Macaca fascicularis: one gene and its partners. The protein of the gene in region 2 interacts with the protein of the main gene of each other region in a pairwise test. Links are inferred from orthologs where the notes say so. Each region holds a gene or a part of one and is shown on either strand. Other genes may lie near its edges.

The links.
Region 1: the proteins of EMD (region 2) and ABT1 interact in binary tests that used the Homo sapiens proteins (3 or more experiments, as listed by UniProt). The two-hybrid records come from large-scale screens. The link is inferred for Macaca fascicularis from reciprocal best matches to the Homo sapiens genes EMD and ABT1.
Region 3: the proteins of EMD (region 2) and TRAF3IP3 interact in binary tests that used the Homo sapiens proteins (3 or more experiments, as listed by UniProt). The two-hybrid records come from large-scale screens. The link is inferred for Macaca fascicularis from reciprocal best matches to the Homo sapiens genes EMD and TRAF3IP3.

The regions. Positions count from the first base shown.
Region 1 is NC_088378.1:146,290,979-146,295,102, reverse strand, and holds ABT1 (activator of basal transcription 1), read left to right. Parts: upstream 1-1,450; 5' UTR 1,451-1,457; coding exon 1,458-1,698; intron 1,699-2,381; coding exon 2,382-2,578; intron 2,579-2,731; coding exon 2,732-3,112; 3' UTR 3,113-3,624; downstream 3,625-4,124.
Region 2 is NC_088395.1:160,349,065-160,354,904, forward strand, and holds EMD (emerin), read right to left. Parts: upstream 3,788-5,840; 5' UTR 3,636-3,787; coding exon 3,554-3,635; intron 3,431-3,553; coding exon 3,326-3,430; intron 3,167-3,325; coding exon 3,089-3,166; intron 2,875-3,088; coding exon 2,741-2,874; intron 2,287-2,740; coding exon 2,237-2,286; intron 2,153-2,236; coding exon 1,828-2,152; 3' UTR 1,418-1,827; downstream 1-1,417. UniProt on the Homo sapiens protein: Stabilizes and promotes the formation of a nuclear actin cortical network. Stimulates actin polymerization in vitro by binding and stabilizing the pointed end of growing filaments. Inhibits beta-catenin activity by preventing its accumulation in the nucleus.
Region 3 is NC_088375.1:67,578,998-67,583,219, reverse strand, and holds the start of TRAF3IP3 (TRAF3-interacting JNK-activating modulator), read right to left. Parts: upstream 2,801-4,222; 5' UTR 2,553-2,800; intron 2,237-2,552; exon of another isoform or gene 2,162-2,236; 5' UTR 2,127-2,161; coding exon 2,041-2,126; intron 1-2,040. UniProt on the Homo sapiens protein: Adapter protein that plays essential roles in both innate and adaptive immunity. Plays a crucial role in the regulation of thymocyte development.

The DNA of each region.
Region 1 (4,124 bases), on a different chromosome or scaffold from region 2:
CCCTCCCCTCTTCAAAAAAGGAGCAGTGTACACCTGACAGAAAGTTCTCTTCAATAAAGTTAATGAAACAGGAGTATTTGAATTCGAAGAATCTATTATTAGACTTTTAGACACTCCATGAAAGAGTGTGGGCCCTGTTACTTTAGAAATATACTTGGGGACTGGCAAAAACTGTCATCCCTGATTTTAATAGTGGACACATTTACTCCCTGCTTCCATTCTCTGGGCTACTCTGCGCTCTTGGAGCGAGATGGGAAATTTTGTCAGGCCGCAGCAAGGGCGGATTTATACTGATGGTCCTCAAACTTGCCCCGGGCTGCTTCCAGAAAGCTAATCGGATTATTTGTACTCGGTTCCCAGCAATATCCTTTGCAGTCAGCTTGTCGCTGGCGCGGATCGCAAGAACTGAAACGCCTTAAGGGTGGGGACGGCGCCCCCTGCTGGTCGCGCCCTCGGGCGACGGTAAGAGATTGAGGACTCGAGCCCGCGCGGGGAAAACGGCTATGGGCTTGGCTTAGGGATGGTTCGCCTAAGCCTGGTAGGAGCAGGACCGCCGGGGCCTTGTCCGTTCTGTGGTTACGTAGGTCATAGAAGGAAAATTGGTTTGTGATCTGATGGGGAATCTGTGAGGACAGACCCAGGGAGGGCAGAACTAAGCGCACCGCCGGGGGGGTCGCCAGAATTGGAGGCGTGTGCGCCTCTGACAAGTATTTGCAACGTAAGTATGCATATGGATAATGTATCAATACACATGTGTAATAGATGCCAAACAAATTATTCAAATAATTGTCACACATTTAAATTTTCAGACATTCACAAAATCAAATGTAAAATATTAAACTGAAAGTTCGCAATTTAAATTTTCAAAAATTAAATCTAATTTCCAAAATTAACCGTTTTCAAAATTAAATTTTAAAATATTCAAAATTCCAAGGTAAATTTCCAGAAATAATTAAAACTTCAAAACTCAAATCTTTTAAATGAAATGTATAAACTTTAAAAGGTGAGTCATTCCTCAGCTGGAATCGCAACCAGGGCCCTCGAATAAAATGCTATTTTGATCGCTAGAACACACAGAAACTTCCCTAAAACTGCTCTACAAAATTCCCTAAAAACCCGGCATCAACCCGCCTTTAGCGGCGTTCTATAGGGTAGGTTGTATCTGGGGATCTGCCTTTTCTGGTTCTGCCTGTCCTGAGTTGGAGATGTAACAGGGAATCTGTGAACCTAAAACAAGCTTCCTATCCCGCTTCCACGCTCTAAATCTGGCTTTCCACCTGACACCCCACTTCCGCCCTCTCCCCTCGGCCTTCCCCTTGACCCGACTGCATCGCCAATCATATCCTTTCATTTGTCATCACCGCCTTGGCCCCGCCCCCTCGTCTCAGGCCGTCGCACACGTTTTGCGTCAGTAGGCAAGGCACTTTACGGCCGTCGTGCCGCTCATGTCAGTCAACATGGAGGCAGAGGAATCGGAGAAGGCCGCAACGGAGCACGAGCCGCTGAAAGGGACAGAACAGACACTAGACGCGGAGGAGGAGCAGGAGGAATCCGAAGCAGCGGCCTGTGGCCGCAATAAGCGGGTAGTGCCAGGTATTGTGTACCTGGGCCATATCCCGCCGCGCTTCCGTCCTCTGCACGTCCGTAACCTTCTCAGCGCCTATGGCGAGGTCGGACGCGTCTTCTTTCAGGCTGAGGGTAAGTATGCAGACCCTGACGGTGAAAGGAGGAGGTTGTCGCTCGCTGGCGGGGTGCAAGCATGGATGTCCTGTTGCTTCGCTGCGCAAGACTGAGGCACGAGTTGTTGGATTTTGGGGGTGGGGAGTGCGGTGCTCGGCTCCTGGCTGGTGAATCAGTCTGTGAGGATGCTGGGGTGGGTGGGCGGAGGGGATATGGGGAGAGTGGGTAGCGCAGTGCGTCTGGTGGTTCTTTAGTTCTCGGATTGTTACTATTCGTGTTCTTATCCCGGCCCTGCTCACCTCTCTTTCCGGATCTGTTTACTGGTTTGTTACATGAGTACAACAGAGTAAAAGCCTCGTTAGCTTTTCTACAAAACTGAACATACCCCTTTAGCATCGCGGCCTAGGTCAAGAAACTGATCAACCGCCCTTCCTCTTTCCACCCTCAATTTTACATTGAGGTTGGGGACTTGCGCGGGTGTTAAATAGCGTTCAAAGCCGGCCAGATTAAGGAGTGGACAATTAAGGAAATAATTGAGTTAGCTAGAGGAAAGGGTGCAATTTACAGTTCCCTCCCTCCTGGGCAAAAACTCTCAGGTGGAACTCCCGCTGGCAGATGTGAAGAACGATGCGGGCAGTGGGAAGTGGTTTTGAGTGAGTGCTGCATAGTCCCTGACGGGTCTTTTTGTCTTTGGCGCTCAGATCGGTTCGTGAGACGCAAGAAGAAAGCAGCAGCAGCTGCGGGAGGAAAAAAGCGGTCCTACAGCAAGGACTACACCGAGGGATGGGTGGAGTTCCGTGACAAGCGCATAGCCAAGCGCGTGGCGGCCAGTCTACACAACACGCCTATGGGTGCCCGCAGGCGCAGCCCCTTCCGTTATGATCTTTGGAACCTCAAGGTGAGGAGATAGATCTTTCTGCCACACCTCTCACCCTCCCTTCTCCCCAGCTCTGGCCCAGGTATACCCATGGCTTCTCATTGGTCTTGTCCCCTGTCTCATCTTTCTCCCTAATCTGCACTATCCTGATCTTTTCTTATTTTCTGCCCACAGTACTTGCACCGTTTCACCTGGTCCCACCTCAGTGAGCACCTTGCCTTTGAGCGCCAGGTGCGCAGGCAGCGCCTGAGAGCGGAGGTTGCTCAGGCCAAGCGTGAGACCGACTTCTATCTTCAAAGTGTGGAACGGGGACAACGCTTTCTTGCGGCCGATGGGGACCCTGCTCGCCCAGATGGCTCCTGGACATTTGCGCAACGTCCTACTGAGCAGGAACTGAGGGCCCGGAAAGCAGCACGGCCAGGGGGTCGTGAACGGGCTCGCCTGGCGACTGCCCAGGACAAGGCCCGCTCCAACAAAGGGCTCCTGGCCAGGATCTTTGGAGCCCCACCACCCTCAGAGAGCATGGAGGGACCTTCCCTTGTCAGGGACTCCTGAGGGCCAGGGTGGCCCCTTCCAGCTCCTAGCCCTGCTCTGCTTCCTGTCTACCTCATACTAGAATGATCGTGACTATCCAGGCAAACATTTTACTGTGTTTCTCAGACCAAGTGTCTCTGCTAAGGGCCCAAACGTGCAAGTTTTGAGGGCTTCCACTATCCTCACTCCGAACTCCTGTATATGCCTGGCTGAGTCACCTAGTTCATACTGTCATACTAGCATGATTATGACTATTGCATATGCTTGTTTTGTTTGACTCTTGGCTGCCTACGTCTATAGGGTCCCCTAAAAATCCCACGTTCTGCCCCCAGGAATGGGCCTTTATTTCCAACTAGGGGGATAATGCCTGCAATAATCCCGGCAATCTTTCTCTGTTTAGCAGTCACAGGTGAGGGTGGTATTAGCATCTTTTTTATGTAGAAAAAATTGACAGTTAATGGCGTGGACTGAGTTGGGAAGAAATACATTTCCTAATGTATTTATAGAAAATAAAAATATTTTTTATGCCTTTTTATTTTTGTTGGGGAGGGTCATTGGACAAGTTCCAGCTTTCATCTCCTTGTGTTCACCTTCATCTCCTGATCTTAGAGCCCCCCCGCCACCCACCTTACTGTTTAACCTGGATTTTTTTTTTTATTTAATTTCTGTCTATTATCTTAGCCCAGTTTATCAATTAGTTATCTTAAGTCAGCATTTTCTAAGCCATTGTTTGAGGAAACAATGACAATAGGTAATAACACATCTTAGTATTAAGAGTTTTACAGGCCACTAGTATAAGATAGGCATCGTGGTAGATGCATATACCGGGTGGAATGGGGGCCACAGCATGTCATAGAGCCCCTCTCAAGGGGGACGTGATTGATGATCACAGTCTTCAGTGGTGAGTCAGTCCTCACCAAGTTTTCCAGGTCATTCCTACAAAATAACTGTAAGAATAATAAGAAGTTTGAAAGAGTCTGGAGTGCTCCCACAATTGCAAACAATGCTTCCTGGGTGGAGTGTTGAGTTGGAA
Region 2 (5,840 bases):
CGTCTCTACTAAAATACAAAGCATTAGCCGTGCATGGTGGTGCACACCTGTAGTCCCAGCTACTCGGGAGGCCGAGGGAGGGGAATCCCTTGGACTCAGGAGGCAGAGGTTGCGGTGAGCTGAGATTGTGCCACTGCACTCCAGCCTGGCAACAGCAAGACTGCATCTCAAAAAAATAAATAAAATAATATATATATGTATATACAGGTATATATCTATGTATATGTATGCATATATATGTATATATGTGTGTATATAATATAAACTTTGAGCACAGTGGCTGACACCTGTAATCCCAGCACTTTGGGGGGCCAAGATGGGTGGATCACCTGAGATCAGGAGTTCGAGACCAGCCTGACCAATATGGTGAAACCCCATCTCTACTAAAAATACAAAAATTAGCCAGGTATGGTGGCGTGTGACTGTAGTCCCAGCTACTAGGGAGGCTGAGACAGAATTGCTTGAACCCAGGAGGCAGAGGTTGCAGTGAGCCAAGATGGCGTCATTGCACTCCAGCCTGGGTGACAGAGTGACTCCGTCTCAAAAAAAAAAAATTATATATATGTATATATAGAAGATTATGAAATACATACCCAGGGCAGAAAACCTGGGAGCTAAGTGAGAATATAGGCAGGTGAATTCCATCACCCAGGGATGATGGGGCATTTCAGCCTTTGGAGCTTTTCTCCCATGTTAAACAAGCAGCAGTTCCAGGAGCTGAGAATGATGTGCCAGAGATGCTTCATTTTTTTTCCGTCCCCATGCCCTTGGACACTGGGGTGGACTTCAGCTTTTTCCAGTTAAAACACCCACAGACTGCTGGTAGCATGCATGCAGCTTTGCCTGAATTTTTTTTTTTTTTTTTTTTGAGACGGAGTCTTGCTCTGTCACCCAGGCTGGAGTGCAGTGGTGCGATCTCAGCTCACTGCAAGCTCCGCCTCCCGGGTTCCCGCCATTCTCCTGCCTCAGCCTCCCGAGTAGCTGGGACTACAGGCGCCCACCACCTCGCCTGGCTACTTTTTTGTATTTTTAGTAGAGACGGGGTTTCACTGTGTTAGCCAGTATGGTCTCAATCTCCTGACCTCGTGATCCGCCCGCCTCGGCCTCCCAAAGTGCTGGGATTACAGGCTTGAGCCACTGCGCCCGGCTGCTTTGCCTGAATTTCTAAGTGGGTTCTCTGTATACGCCTTGTTGTACCACAATTATATGTATAAGCAGTTACAGGTGCTTTGGGGAATGAGTTAGGGAATAAAACTCCCAAACAAAACACAAACATCTCTGGGTAGCATTTGATTCCTATCCCCAGACCAAAGCAAAAATGCGGACCCAACAAAGCCAGATTGCAATCCTCGAGTCCCAAGACGCAGAGGCCCTTGCCATGGGAGCCCAACCCTCTCCTCCAGGAAGAGCCAACGCATTAAAAATAAATGGGGTTTTTATTGTGTGTCCACGAAAACAAAGGGTGGCCTTTGGTTAATCCCCCCCAACAAGATGACAAAAAGGAGGCATGCATGACAACAAGAACCATGTTCTCCTCTGACTGAGCGAGGCCTTGCCCTCCTGGACCCTAAGGGTTACAGGCAAGCAGGGCCAGGAGGCTGCCGAGGAAAGCACACTCAGGCCCCCATGGAGGGCCTGAATCTGCTGCCTCCCTGGTGGGACAAGGCAGGGGGAGCAAGCACTACTCTGGGCTAGGCCCAGCGCCCCCCAAGCAAGAACACATAAAAGCCCCTGCCCCTGCCCCTGCCCCCACACCCACCCCCACCCCCACTGCTAAGGCAGTCAGCCAGGACTTCCCCAGAAGACCTGGCTCTGAAGCCCAGACCCTCATGGCTCCCTCTGGAAAGGGTTGCCTTCCTCAGCCTGCATGAAGTAGTAAATGAAAAAGAGGACGATCACAAAGACCAGGAAAAGCAGCAGCTGGCCCCAGAGTGGGACCTGGTGATCCTGGCCCAGCCCAGCCCCAGGAGCATGGTTTTCAGGCCGGATGGCACGGCGGGTGAGCCATGAAGAGGAAGATGATGAGGACATAGAAGAGGTGGAGGAGGAAGTAGGATAATAGGACAGGTCCAGGGAGCTCCTGGAGGCTGAAACAGGGCGGTAGTGCGTGATGCTCTGGTAGGCACTGTCCCGGCCGTACATGGGGCGTTCCCTGAGGCAAAAGAGGGGAGCAGGTGGGCCAGGAGCCTGGGTCCAGAACCAGCCCCTGTCCCTGGCCTTCCCCATACATACATACCTATCCTTGCACTCCTCTTCAGAAGACGACAAAAGGTCGTCATCACGTACCTGTAGAAGAGAGTCAAGGTGAGGGAACTGGCTGGCAGGGCCACAATGGCCCTGCCACGTCCCTCTCAAATTTCCCCAGCAGGTCCCCTCTGACCTTTGGTTAAAGGCCAGGGACCCACACCCTCCTGAATGACTCTGGGTGTTCGGCCTTTTATCCATGGGGCCTTGCTACTTGTGCTCATGCCCCAGCATCCCCCTTTGCCCCCAGGACTCTCAGGAAGAGCTGGAGCCTAGATCCCAGACCAGGGTGCAGGACGCATCCTATGTGCTCTAGTCACATAGTTCTGAGGGCTCCCCAAAGTAGGACCCTGACCAAACAGGTGTCTGCTGAGCCAAAGTCTCCCCAGAGGCCCAAGGGCCACCATTTGTACCCAGTGGCCCCCTGGATTTATCCAAACACAGCCGCGATCCCCTAGGTTGTACCCAAGTACAGTACGCCTGCCAGCCAGCTCACCTGGTGGTGGAAAGTGTCAGCATCTGGGAGTGAAGTCACAGACTGGCGGAAGCCCCTGGACGGGCCCGCAGACTCGGGCTCCCCATAAGTCCTGGTAGTGAAGTAGCTCTCTTCATAGTAGTCGTCATTGTAGCCTTGGGAAGGGGGGCAGCGGTAGCAGAGGGGGCATCGGTGTGCCCCGCCTGGCCCGATGGCCCTAATCTGAATCCCATTTCGGGACCTGTGACAGTTTCTCCCTCCTAAGGCTGCTGGAGTGGTTGGGACTGAGGTCTCAGGTCCTCCCTGTGAGCGGGGTCCCTGACGCAGTCGGGTGAAGGTGCCAGCGTGCCCACCCAACCCCTGCCTTACCCTTGCTCTGGTAGAGTAAGGCGTCCTCTTTCTTGGGAAGATCATACATATCTGAATCCCCTGACGTCGAATTCAACTCTGGATTGAAAGGAGGAGACAGAACTGTTTGCCCCCCCACCCCCACCCCAAGGCTTCCCTCCCCTTTCCCCAGTGCCGCTCTCGACCGGCACCCCTGCCACACCCTCGCTACCTCATCCTCCCCGCGTCCCAGGCCGTCCCCACAGGCGAGGCTCTCACCAGAGAAGCGATAAGAGGAGGCAGCGGACGAGCCGGGGGGCGAGAGCCGCCGCCTCTGGGTCTCATACTCGAAGATCTTCTGCTCGTAAAGCCTACGAGTTGATCCTGGCCGGACACGGGGCGGTCAGGGCCGCAGTCCGGGGAAGGGGCGCGGGGAGGGCAGCGGGGAGGTCGCGGGGCGGAGCACGAGGAGGGGGCCCGGAAGGGGTCCCGCCCGCCGCCGCGTACCTACTACAGGCCCGTGCGGGATGTTGTACCGGCGCAGCAAGGCGGTCAGCTCGGTATTTGAAAGATCTGCGTAGTCGTCCATGGCGGGTGCGGGCTCGGGCGGAGGCCTGGCGGCGGCCCGGGCCTACCAAAACCGGCCGAGCAACGGCTGCCTAGGAGCACGGCGGGGGCGGCACGAGTGCATCGGGAGCGGCCGCACTCGCGTCACAGCCGAATCGCTGTCGCGTCACGGCCGCTGGCTCCGCAGGCTGCGCGCGCTGCGCTGGGCGGGACCAAACGGCGGGAGTAGCCGGCACAGACCGGCCGGGCCTTGAGAGCTGGGAGGCTGGGGCCGCGAGCCCAAACGTCATCAACTCACGGATTGGCTAGCGGCAGAGAGGGCGGGCCCCCGGGAGTCAGGGTGGTGGGAACCGGTCTCGCGGTGGGAGCGGGCGGGGCCGCAAGCCCATATGTCACAAACACGGGAATTGGCTAGTGATGGAGGGGGCGGGGCCCGCGCAGGCGCGGAGCAAAAGGTCTTGCGTTGGGAGCGAGCGGAGCGGAGAGCCCTTACGTCACAAACATGGGGATTGGCTAGCGATGGAGGAGGCGGGGCCCGCGCGGGCGCGGGGCAGAAGGTCTCGCGGTGGGAGCAAGCCGCGCCGCGAGGGGCGCCACACGTCACTAACGCACGGATTGGCTAGCGGCGTAGGCGGCGGGGCCCGCGCGGGAGTCAGGGCAATGCAAACTGGTATCGCAGTGGGAGTAGGCGGGGCTGCGGGCCCAAAAGTCACAAACGCACAGATTGGCTAGCGGCAGGGGGCGGGGCCCGCGCGGGAGTGAGGGCGACACGGCTGGGAGCCAAGACGTCACCCTGTGGCGCGCTTGAGCCAGCCGGGTGAGAGGGATGGGGCCTGCGCGCTAGGGACCCGGGACGTGCGAGCGGGCGAAGTCGGCGCTTGGGGTGGCTCTGGTCCCTAAGTCACTTGGACTTCGCCCGGTCCCTGCACATCCCTGCTCCCCGCCGTCGCCCCCCTTTCCTGGGCCCCAGAGCCTAGGGTTTCCCGGCCGCATCCCGGTCGGCCGCCCCGGCAGCGGACCCTAAGAGAGCGCGGGCCCGGGGCCAGGCACTGCCGGGGGCGCTTTGTGTGCGCATTGCTCGGGAAGCGGCTGCGGGGCAAGGCCCGCGCCTATGGGATCTCCGCAGACCCCCTGCCACGGGCCCTTCTTCCCAGTCTGCAGGGCTCTCGCCCGCGCACATGTGCCTGCTGCTTCCCACCGCCTACCTCTCTGCTTCCCTTCCTCCTCCCTCACTCTACCCGGGAGGAAATGGGGCACTGGGCCAGGAGGCCGCTGGCACTCCAGAAGCAAGCAGCCTTCGAAGGGGCCCGGGCATGCCGACGGGCACGCCAGTGGGCGCGGGCAGAGGGCGCCGTGCGATGCGTACAGAGACAACGTGTGCCCGCCTAATCCTTCATGCCGTTCATTCACCCGGGGCACTGGGGGGAGCTGCAGCGGGGCGTCCTCTCCTGTCGGAATAGTCCCTGAGCGCAGCGTGTCTGGGCAGGGGGCAGACGTCGGTGATGAGCTATGGAAGGCTGCCAAGGCCTGCTCAGGAGCCTGAACTGTGGCTAGGATTCCCAGGGCCTTGATCAGATATGGGCTGTCCCATGGAGAAGGGAAAGGAGGTGACATTCATATCCTTTTTTTTTTTTTTTTTTTTTGAGACAGAGTCTCGCTGTCACTCAGGCTGGAGTGCAGTGGTGTGATCTTGGCTCTCTGTAGCTTCCACCTCCCGGGTTCAAGTGATTCTCCTGTCTCAGCCTCCAGAGTAGCTGGGAGTACAGTCACATGCCACCACGCTTGGCTACTTTTTACATTTTTAGTAGAAACGGGATTTCGCCATGTTGGCCAGCCTGGTCTCAAACTCCTGACCTCAAGTGATCAGCCCGGCTCGGCCTCCCAGCAAAGTGCTGGGATTACAGGCATGAGCCACCGCACCTGACTGTGACATTCACATTCTAAACAAAGCCAGCTGAGGGTGTATGGAATCAACTAGTGTGCCCCTCACTGGGTAGGCCCCAAACTGGGAGCATGAAGAGGTGACATACCATCTGTGGTCTCACAGATGAAGGCTGGTGACAAGGGAAGAAGAGGGGAGGGCTCTGGTTGTGTCCAGAATGACTGAGCCAGCTGGTGAGGGTCACAGACCAGTCATCCATGGAGGTTTGCCCATGGGGTGGGAAGAGGTAGACACCTAGGGGAGTAATGAGGAGATGGGTCTTTGTTTTGACTACACACAAAGATC
Region 3 (4,222 bases), on a different chromosome or scaffold from region 2:
GTTTCTACTTACTCCTTCTTGGATAAGGGTGGGAGTGGGCCTAGGGGATGGTCCCTTGACTTTCTCCCTGCCACTTTCTTTATTTAGAGACTTAAAAAAAAGGGTCTGGGCCAGGCGCGGTGGCTCAAGCCTGTAATCCCAGCACTTTGGGAGGCCGAGACGGGCGGATCACGAGGTCAGGAGATCGAGACCATCCTGGCTAACACGGTGAAACCCCATGTCTACTAAAAAATACAGAAAAAAAACTAGCCGGGCGAAGTGGCGGGTGCCTGTAGTCCCAGCTAGTCGGGAGGCTGAGGCAGGAGAATGGCGTGAACCCGAGAGGAGGAGCTTGCAGTGAGCTGAGATCCGGCCACTGCACTCCAGCCTGGGTGACAGAGCAAGACTCCGTCTCAAAAAAAAAAAAAAAAAAAAAAGGGTCTGACAGACCCATGTCTGTTGTTATAAATGACTGAATGGAAGAGACCCAGGATTATGTGCATGTGAACTCCATCTCTGGAACCTACACTCACAGCATCCCTGAGTCACAGCCCCTGGCTATTCTGCCATGGATTGCAGTGGAGAACCCTGGCTCTTGGAGTCACACTGTGTGGACTCATATCCTGGCTCTGTCACCTACTACCTGTGTGTGGTTTTAGGTAAGCTATTAAACATCTCTAAGCCCCAGTCTCTTCATTTATAAAATGGGGCTAGATTGGCTGGGCGCGGTGGCTCACGCCTGCAATCCCAGCACTCTGCGAGGCTGAGGCGGGTGGATCATGAGGTCAGGAGATCGAGACCATCCTGGCTAACACAGTGAAACCCGGTCTATACTAAAAAATACAAAAAATTAGCCAAGCATAGTGGCGGCCTCCTGTAGTCCCAGCTACTCGGGAGGCTGAGGCAGGAGAATGGCGTGAACCCGGGAGGAGGAGCTTGCAGTGAGCCGAGATCGTGCCATTGCACTGCAGCACTCCGGCCTGGGCGACAAGCAAGACTCCGTCTCAAAAATAAAATAAAATAAAATAAAATAAATAAAATAAAATAGGGCTAGAACCTGCCTTGTAGGTTATAAGGATTAAATGACATTTTTGCCATTAAAAGTAATGGCAAAAACCAAATATTATCCTTGTTATGCTGATGTTGGATATTGAGGACTTGGTGCTATAAGACAAAGGCTCCAAGCTAAATGAGCACTCTTAAGACCAAGAATGCCTTCTCTCATCCTCTCAACCCTCTCTCTTTGACAGAGTATATTGTTTATCAGATTGAGGGGATGCTGGACCAAGGTTGGAGTCACATTTACTTCTCTGTTTCTTCTGACCCCGGGTTTGGGCTATAAGGAGAAAGGGCTTCTCTGTGATCTGGACATAATCACCATCCCAATTACACCAAGCAGAAAGGTAAGGAAGAGATGGGGTCTGCCTGTGTCACACATAAGTTGTGAGGTTCCCTCCCTGTTTGGCTCCAGCTTCCCGCCAGGTTTTGTAGTGGAGGCAGAACATTGAGAATCCTCCTACCTTCTTGCCATGAAGAGGAAAGGGCTATGGGGGAGAACACAGGGCCTGAGATGAGGTCTCTCTGGGCTTTCCACCTAGGCCACCCACCTTCATCCACTGAAACACACAGCTGCTCTGCTCACTGCTTCCTCGGGGCAGACATTGAGTCTTCTTACCCAAGAAAGGAGCTGCAGTGGAAATGGCTTCTTAGAGACGGGAGTGTTCCCAGATGCCTTGGCTACCACAACTGCTAGGATGTGGTGCAGCATGCTGCATAGAACCCTACCCCGGTTTCTGGGATATCTGGACCCTACTGACTTGCTTAAAAACAGGAAGGTATGCAGGATGGCTGACAGGGATAGGCTGCTAAAGAAAAGGGAACTGGTCCCTGTAGAGTTCAAAGAAAGATCACTGGGTCACTGCCCAGGCTTTCTGGCATCTCTGACATTCCCACCTGGCAGCATGACTGGGCTCACTTAGAGCTTGGAGGAAGGGTTACTGGCTTGGAAGGCTCAGTCTGGTCTCTCAGGCTGCAGAGAGAGAACAGGGCATGGCTCCTCACCTGACTGTGGCTTGACATGCCTTTCCGAGTCTCACTTTTACTTCCTGGCCGTGTGTGCAACAGACGCAATGAATGGCTTCCTGCATGGGTGGCCTTCCTGGCCCAGAGCTCTCAGTGGGAACTGAGGGGAGAGGGGCCTACGCTTGAGCTGCTGGGAAGGCAGTCTTGTGTTCAGGGATCCCCGCTTTGAAGAAAACTATAAAAGGTCATTTAATTCATGCCCATATCACTGGGTAGCCTGAACTAAGTCATTTGACTTACTCCTAATCTAATGTAATCTAATCTAATCTACTGGAACAGAGGAGTGGTGCAAGCTGTACCCTGTGCCAAGGCTAGCGCCACGGGAAACCAACACAGGATACTTTCTTGGTTACCCAAACCCCCAACACCCTTAAACTATGCCACCTGCTCTTTCTTCACCCAGGAGAGCTGGGATGGTAGAGCATCTTCTGCCCCACCCCAAAGTTGGAGTTCCCAAACCAGGACACAAAAGCATCCTCCTTCTCAGTTACCTCCGAGTCCCAGGCTCCGACTCAAGCCACTCAGGAAAGCATTCCAGCTCCTGGGCAGATCTTGGCTCTGGTCTCAGATGGAGCAAGACAGCAGATGGGTAAAGCACACGCTTTCAATCCATAGGTCTGGGCCCCATTAACACGTCCCTTCTTGGTACTGTCTTTCTTTTTGCACAGCAGCCTTGCTGAAACAGGAAACAGACAAAGCCACAAGGTTTGCAAACCCCGGTTCCTCTCTCTTACTCTCTGGCATCATCTGAGTGAGCCTCTGAACTCTGAGGCCTCCAGGGCTGGGCTCAGGAGCTCCTCCCATCAGTAGGCACCCTGGCCACCCTTTCTCTTGCTACTGGATTGGTCGAAGCTCTTGGACAGTTTCAAGTCAAGATTCCTTTCCACGATTAGACAAGGATAGTCCTCTGGGTCAGATTCAGACCTTTGTGGTTTCTATGAAGGGAAAGAAAATTCCTTTTTGATGGTAAGACCTAGATGAGATGTTCTCAGTGTAGGCTTTCATGTGTATCAGGTAGTTCTTTGTGCAAAGATTTTCCTTTTTCTTTAGCCACCTCTTCCCAATCCTGGTGTTGTAAAGAGTTTCTGCTTTTCTGAAGTAGCTGGTGTCTTTCTCAGATTCTGGAATGAGGCCAATTCTGCATTTGCTCCTTTCTAGAGCAATGAGGAGGGGGTATAAAGGTGGGTAGCTGGGGGATGAAGGAAGGAATAGAAGGCAGAATCTTCTACACATTTTTTATCCAGTCAACCAGACTAGGAAATTTAGGGAAAAACTAAAGGGAACGAATTTGTGTGCATTAAGATGAAGCCATCACAAATGATGCAGTCAGGAAATTCCCAAGAAGTTCAAGCTAAAATAGTGGAGGGGAAACTGGATTGGGACAAGTTAACCCAGCAGCTTTGTAACCTTGTAAAATTCACCTTGTCTGGATGCTACTCACTGTGGTGGTTGGATGATGTACGTGGCTCTTTGGAATTCTAAGTTTTGACACACGTGAGGCAGGTAATGAGACTTAAACATAGCTGTGATCACGTTTATTAACATGTGGAGAGTTTGTCACCATTTTCTCTGCTACTGCTTCTTTCTCTGTTCTTTGAGGAGAAAAAGGACGAGGAATCAGCAGGGAAAAGCAGAGGATGGATTCTCAAGCAGTAGGGCTGAAGATAAATGGCATTTACTCAGGATGAGAGACAACAGCTCAAGGCCCTGTGTCTGGAGCTTGACACATACAGATGGGAATGAGTAGAGGACAGAGGGTTTGGGGAGTCCAAGATGTCAGAATAAGAGAATTTTGGCTGGGCACAGTGGCTCACGCCTGTAATCCCAGCACTTTGGGAGGCCCAGGTGGGTGGATCACTTGAGGTCAGGAGTTCAAGACTAGCCTGGCCAACATGGTGAAACCCCATCGCTACCAAAAATATAAAAAATTAGCCAGGTGTGGTGGCATGTGCCTGTAAACCCAGCTACTCGGGAGGCTGACGCACGAGAATCGCTTGAACCCAGGAGGCAGAGGTTGCAATGAGCCAAGAACGTGCCACTACACTCCAGCCTGGGCGACAGAGTGAGACAGAGTTTTGCTCTTGTGGCTTACGCTGTAGTGCAATTGCATGAACTCGGCTCACTGCAACCTCCGCCTCCCAGGTTCAAGCAATTCTCCTGC